Linked DNA regions of Rattus norvegicus. Each later gene encodes a partner of the first gene's protein in a complex. Each region holds a gene or a part of one and is shown on either strand. Other genes may lie near its edges.

Evidence for each region. The genes of interacting proteins can lie anywhere in the genome.
Region 2: the proteins of Abcc9 (region 1) and Kcnj8 are in contact, whole or in part, in a cryo-EM structure (PDB 7MIT), measured with the Rattus norvegicus proteins. Residues at the interface, in XP_038963045.1 of Rattus norvegicus: Phe5, Ile10, Tyr13, Asn14, Ile15, Val19, Asn22, Cys24, Phe25, Ala28, Leu29, Val32, Val35, Phe36, Phe39, Phe42, Pro43, Ile44, Phe46, Ile47, Gly48, Trp49, Gly50, Ser51, Lys55, Gln57, Ile58, Asn129, Phe130, Lys132; in NP_058795.3 of Rattus norvegicus: Met1, Leu2, Lys5, Ile7, Ile8, Pro9, Glu11, Tyr12, Val13, Leu14, Ala15, Arg16, Ile17, Ala19, Glu20, Asn21, Leu22, Leu45, Ala46, His47, Lys48, Asn49, Gly54, Arg55, Phe56, Leu57, Asp59, Ile60, Thr62, Thr63.

Annotation. Positions count from the first base shown.
Region 1 is NC_086022.1:177,362,262-177,365,913, forward strand, and holds part of Abcc9 (ATP-binding cassette sub-family C member 9), read right to left. Parts: intron 1,970-3,652; coding exon 1,784-1,969; intron 1-1,783. UniProt on the Homo sapiens protein: Subunit of ATP-sensitive potassium channels (KATP). Can form cardiac and smooth muscle-type KATP channels with KCNJ11. KCNJ11 forms the channel pore while ABCC9 is required for activation and regulation.
Region 2 is NC_086022.1:177,240,063-177,243,571, forward strand, and holds the end of Kcnj8 (ATP-sensitive inward rectifier potassium channel 8), read right to left. Parts: intron 1,657-3,509; coding exon 756-1,656; 3' UTR 630-755; downstream 1-629. UniProt on the Homo sapiens protein: Inward rectifier potassium channels are characterized by a greater tendency to allow potassium to flow into the cell rather than out of it.

The DNA.
Region 1 (3,652 bases):
TTAGAAGGGGGAACAAAATAATCACGGGAGGTAGAGGATGGGAGGGACTTGTGAGGAAAAGAGGAGAGGGAGGATGGAAGGGGTGACAGATCAGGTGTAGGAGAAGATGGGGGATATGTACAGAGGGTGAGGAAATTGTGTGGCAATGGGGATGGGAAACTGAGGGTAGCCACCAGAAAGTCCCAGATACCAGGAAAGCAAGAGGTTCCCAGGACCCAATGGGGATGATATTAACTGAAACACCCAACAAAGGCGAGAGCGAACCTTGTGGAGACCATATCCAGAGGTTAGGCACAGACCCTAGTTGAGGGATGGGGCCACCCACCCTTCTCAAAAATTTAACCCAGAATTGCTCCTGTCTAACAGTAATGCGGGGACGAAGAGTGGAGCAGAGACTGAAGGAAAGGCCATCAAGAGAGGGCCTCACCTGGGATTCCATTTCGCACACAGCCACTAAACCCAGACTCTATGGTGGATGCCAAGAAGTTGCTGACAAGAGCCTGATATAACTATCTTCTGAGAAGCTCTGCCAGTGTCTTACAGATACAGAAGCAGATGCTCGCAGCCAACCATCTGACTGAGTACAGGGACCCCAATGGAGGAGTCAGGGGGAAGGTCTGAAGGAACTGAAGGGGTTTGCAACCCCGTAGAAAGAACAACAATATCAACCAACCCGATTTCCCAGAACTCCCAAGGACTAAACCACCAACCAAAGAGTACCCATGGAGAGACCCATGGCTCCAGCTACATATGTAGTAAAGGATGGTCTTATCTGGCATCAATAGGAGGAGAGGCCCTTGGTCCTGTGAAGCCCCAGCATAGGGGAATTCCAGGGCAGTGAGGCAGGAGTGAGTGGGTGTGTGTGGGGGGCAGCACCCTCATAGAAGCAGGGGAGGGGAGGGAATAGGGGGTTTGCAGAGGGGAAACCAGGGAGGGGGATAACACTGGAAATGTAAAAAATTAAATAAACAATAAAAAACTTAAAAAAAAGAAAATTATTTGCTTTACTAAAAACATTAAATTCCTCTATAAATAACCATGCTTGAACTTCTCATACCACTGCATTAATAAAAAGTGACAATTACAATGTAATCTTTCAATAATGCGTTTCTTTTCAAATACACGGTGAACCAGGCAGGCAAGATGGCTCAGCAGGTAAAGGTGCTTGCCACCAAGCCTGATGGCCTGAGATCAACCCCAGGATCCACACAGTGAAAAGAGAGAACCTGCTCCACTCCCGTAAGTTGTCATTGAGCCCCACACGTTAGCTATGGCACCCGCATGCCTACGCACAGTAGTGATTTCAATAACAATGTTGCCTGTCAGCTCATATGTTTGAGTAGTTGTCCTGAGTTGGTGGAACTGGTCAGGAAGGATTAGGAGGTATGGCCTTGTTGGAGGAGGGGTGTCACAGAGAGCAGGCTTTCAGGTTTTAATTGCCCATGCCATTCCAAGTTAGCTCTTTCTCAGCCTCATGCTTGTGGATCAAGACGTAAGCTCTCACCTGCAGCTCTAACACCCTGCAGCCTGCCTGCCCACCAGCCCGCCCGCCTACCGGTCCACCTGCCTGCCCGCCCGCCTGCCTGCCTGTCCGCCTGCCTGCCCGCCTGCCTGCTGCCACGCTCGAACGCCCCCCACCGTGATGGTCATGGACTCACCCTCTGAAACTGTATCCCTTCAATAAATTGTTCCTTCTATCAGTTTCCTTGGTCATGGTGTCTTCACAGAAATAGAAAAGCAACTAATACAAGCGATAAATAAATTTTAAAAGCCGTGCACTTACTCTCGTCGTGTTATTCTTCGGTTCATTCACACGCTGGACGATTCCGGAAATACAAAGAGGGCCGGCAAAGCCCAGCAAGTCAGCCAAGTAGCGGAACGTGCTGCTCAGCAGGATCGGTCTCCCAAAAGCCCTGTACATGGCCAGCCATATGGAGGGAGTCCGATTCGGATGATCCGCAGCCTTTTTCTGAAACAAATGGACTGAAGTAAATAAAACCTTAGGACAGCAGTCGGCCTCGGCAGCTGCGAGGTGCTTTCTGAAGTCCCAAAGATAACTGTGGAGACATCAGTGGGACGTGGGAAAGTCTGCATCCTTTCATTTAATACAAATATTAGCTATTGGACCCCACACATACACACAAGAGACCTATACAATGGAGTGTACAAGTCAGTTCTACACCTCTGTCCTTAGTCATCACCGGATTCTTAAGGACAAATGCATACTGTTATGAGGTTCCAATCACATTTCCTTTCAAAAGTACCATGAGCAGACAAGATGGCTATGTGAGTAAAAGTGCTTGCCACCAAGCCTGGTGACCTGAGATCAAACCAGGATCTATGTGGTGAAAAGAAAGAACCCACTCCTACAAGCTGTCCTCTGATCGTCATGTATAAGACATGGCACGCACATGTCCACACGTCAACTCACTACAGTGATTTGAATTAAAAATGGTCTCACAGGCTCCTGTGTTTGAGTGTTTTGTATTTGTGAGAGGTTCCCAGTCACACTCTGTGAGCTAAAGTGGATTATCACACCTCATTTATCTTTCACATTTTCTCAGCTTCACAGAGAGGAGTCGGTTCATTTTGAAATCATTAGAGGCTATGCTTAAAAAAGGGAAAAAAATGGATACATGCTTAAGGTAACCATTGACTTGTGAGCCGTCAGCCGTTGTTTGTAAAGACTTTAAGACCTGAGCGTGTGTGGTGGCAAAGAAACCAGCTCACTGTGGTGGAAGGCTGGAGGGATGGTTCAGCTGGTAAACGGCTCTTCTTGAAAGCTTGAAGACAAGAGGACAATCCTCAGTAACCACATGAAAAAGGTCAGGCATGGTGGCTTGGATTCCTAACACTGAGCAGGCATGCCTGGCCAGCCAGCCAACTCCATGGGGGTTGGGAGGTAGCTATGTCTCACTGAGAGGCTCTGCCTCCTTGACCTCCACAGACTGGAACAGAATCATCTTTCATATTCAGTTGTCCACTGGACCTCATGATTTCTACATTTTCTCAGGTTCACTCACATGACATGAGCACAGAGACTTGAAGCTGTTCCTTGAAGGCACTCAGGGTAAGTTTACTCTCTATTTTATATATTTTAAATGAGAGAAGTTTACAGATTTTGATGTAATATTTCCTCAAGGAAAACCAAGAAGTGACTCAGGCCCATTTGTAACAACTTTTCCTGCAATCGCAGTTTCGAAACACAAGATTCTGAGACAAGAGATGGTTTTCATCATTTACCATAAACAATTAGTTGGTTTTCAATTAACATTGCCACAGTGCTCTAACAGATTCAGCATTCAGGATTCTGTCATTGTGAATATCAACATTGTAAAGACTGTTGCAACAAAAATACATCTAGAACTGTGTATCCCACCTAGGACCCCTTAGAATAGTAATAGGACAAATTTCAGATTTATAAAGATGGAAATGAGGAGCAAATGGGAAGAAGATGATGAAGATACATTGTATCCAGGCATGAATTTGTCAAAGAATAAGGCAAAGGTACCAATAGCTCACACGTTTTAACTTTTCTCAAGGATCTTGTGAATTGCTTTTCTAAGTATGATAAAAAAAAAACATATGTTCATTAATAATTACTTTAAAGAAACCTCACATTAATTACCAACAAACACTGGGTTTTGTGCTT
Region 2 (3,509 bases), about 120 kb from region 1:
CCGATGACCTGTGAGGTCCAATGGCTCATATATGAAATAAATTCAAGCCCCAAACTCTGACTAAAAGGCTACACAACTGCCTAGTTTCCATGTTTTACCACACCACACACTGTGTTAATTCAGGACATCTCTCTACTCTGCCCTTACTTGAGGGCTCAGGAGTTAAGGGGGATGAACCTGGGCTCTGGTAGAAGATCTCATCTCTGCTAAGTGACAGAAGCTCAGACATGCAGGCCAACTGACTCAGACGGCAAAGGCTGCTGGGAAGAAAACAGAGTTTCCAGATGAGAGGAGGATCAGAGAGGAAGGGCTCAGGTTTCTATGGCAACCCAAACTCAGAAAGACAAGCCAAAAAGAATGCTTCAAACCAAAACCCAAATAAACAGAATAGGAAAGGGAAAACTGTGGTTGTCTTTGGCCACAGACCTGAGCAGGGATCTTAGAAGGTGATATCATCTTTATGTGACTCCATGCCTCTAAAAATGTCTAAAAGTGTCGCTGCTGCGGCAGTCTGTGTGAGGAAACAAGTGTGAGCCGCGAGCCCTCTGCTTTGTGTGCTATTGTTTATTTATTCAAGAGGTTTAATTTCTCAAATATGAATATTTTTCAGTGCCTTAAAATACGAATACTGTTGTGTTCCTGCCCTGAATTGGCGACAGGTCCGATACTTCGATCACCAGAACTCAGCAAACTGTCTCAGGATGGTCTGTCAGTCATCGGGACTCAGTGAGTGGCTGTCTAGGGTCGTCCTGCCCTCATGATTCTGATGGGCACTGGTTTCCTTCTGGAGTCATGAATTGCACCTTGGGCACCATGAGGGAAGAGTTATTCCTCCGGATGGAGTTGCTCCTCCTCATGGAGTTGTTTCTTCTCATAGAGTTGCGCTTCCTCAGAGAATTCTGGTGCGACAGTTCACTCTTTTGGAGGGTCTGAATCAAGATGGAAGGTTTCTCGTCCAGCTCCCGGGCACTGCATCTTGGCGCCGCCACTCTCACAGTATTACCAAATTTAGAATAGTCCACAGAGTACACTCCCTCCTCCTCAGTCACAATCGACACGAAGCGGTGTCCCCACTGGATCTCCTCTGCAATGTAGGAGGTCCGCGCTTGCGTGGTGATGCCCGTGGTTTCCACCACGCCCTCGAGAATCACTATGACCTCCAGGTCTTGGTTGACAAGGTCAGTGGCTGAGATATCGTACAGGGGGCTACGCTTATCAATCACATGGCAGATGATCAAAGGGGCCACTAGGAAGATGTTATTGCTCTCGATGGGATTATCCACAGGGATGTCCTGCTGGTGAATAGGCACCACCTCTCCTTCTGGCGTCGTGGTTTTCTTGACCACCTGGATGCGCACCGAGGCGCTAATGATCATGCTTTTCCTCAGGTCACCCACCCGGAACATGAAGCACAGCTTGCCATTACGGACCGCAATTACAGCATGGCGGCTGAAAATCAGCGTCTCTGCCCTTCTGTGGGCCTGGGCCGTCTTCATGAAGATGCAGCCCAACATGACCGCGTTGATGATCAGACCCACAATGTTCTGCAGAATCAAAACCGTGATGGCCAGAGGGCACTCCTCAGTCATCATTCTCCCTCCAAACCCAATGGTCACTTGAACCTCGATGGAGAAGAGAAACGCAGAAGTGAATGACCTGTAAGGAATGATATCAGAAATAACGCCAGGTCAGCGTGGGCGTGGTGGAAAGTGCCCAGGAGGAGCCACGCTTGCTACTACAGCCTAGTGACTTGGGAAAGATTCGTTTTTAATACAAGCACCCTCCCCACTCCTTTCTCCCTCCCTCCTCTCTCCCACAACCTTCTGACATCCTCTCCCTCTCCCTTTCTCTCTTTCTCCCCTCCTCTCTCCTTTTCCATTTGTATGCTTCCTAGATCATATACCATGTGAAGACATTTATAAAAAAAACAACTAAATATAAATTGTAGATATATTTCACATTTACCAAAGCCTAACTTACTTTCTGGAATTTTCTACTAGCTAGTGTTATTTATTACCTACTTGTGTTTGAGAGACTTGAGTTCATATGGAAGCTACTGGGTAATGGCTGAATGTTGTATTATTTGTAGCTTCTGGAATTATAGTCATTATCCAGTAATTGGTTGTCCTGTTTACAAAATCCAGTACAGTGGTAAAACATGGTGTAAAACATGTCATCCAGAAAACATTTGTATTTTAATAAGGAGAGTTGGGTTTTTTTCCATTTGGAGAAGTTTTTATTGATTATCTTGTTTTTCATGTGACCCAAAAACTATGTATACATAATGACTACATCCGTGAGTCCTGTCAGATCTGGCCTGCTGTTCTCAAAGGAGCAAGGGGAAAGAGCTAACTGGTGTCAGGATTTTCTTGGGAAGGTGTTTTCTGGTTGTACATCTCCGCATCTAAGTGAATAGACAAGGGTTTGGAGGGCTCCTGCTGGACTTGAGTGAGTCCTGGGTAATTTTGTTTAATCTCTGGCTGAGAAGAGTCACATTTTGTTGTTAGCAAATTACTCGCCTGGCTGCATACCCAGGACTGCTGGGGCTTCTTCACAGCCGCTATTCCTGACACTCACCCCAGGTCCACACTTCGCTAACTTCATAGGAGAGAAACCATACATTACAGTCTGTCAAAATATTATCTATGAATACCAGGCACAATGAGAAAACCAAACATTTGAATTTGAGCACTCAATACATGCTGCCCTTTGGCAGGAAGCCAGGAGAGTGTGTGAGTCCACACACATCCATCTGCTTTCAAGTGGGGTAGGAAAAGAGCCCTTTATCTCTGTTGTGGCTAAAACAGTCCATGCAAAACTCTAAGAATTGACTTCTGCCCTCCTTACACACCCTGAGATATGTGGCATGGATGGGAAACACACAGACAGTAGAAACAGGCCTCAGAAGAGGGTGCACATCTAACACTGAGTTTAACAATGGTTTGTATGTCAGAGAAGAGTCCCATGTCTGTCCATGGCTTGGGAGATGGTTCCTGAACCGTGTTTTTAATATTGTTTAATTCAATTAACAATTAATCAATTAATTCAATTTCTCTATCCAGAATAAGAACAATATTTTCTGGACACCTGTCTCACAATCTCAAGTGGAAAAAAAAAGCCTTCAATGGAGAAGGGATGAGGGCAGAGCGTCAGCTGAATAATAATGAGGAAAATAACATTGTTTCTATTTTCTGACTCATGTTGCAAAGTCGTCTGCACAAAGGAGAAAATGTGCCACCCTTAAGTGAGAGCAGCCAAGCAACTTTGGAAATACTGCTGGACAGCCACTGAGGAAAAGTTGCTTCCACATTTGATGATTTGCCTGACATTGAATTTATAAAAGAAATGGAAAACAAGCAATTAGAGTTATGTACGTCTTCAAAGTTCTCTAGGAAGACAATAGGCTTTACGTATACTAAGGAGCGTGATCTAAAAGCTAGCACTGTTAGGTTGATGAAGTCACCTTTGCTTCACTGTAGTTTTGACACCATTCCTCACAGCTTAACACC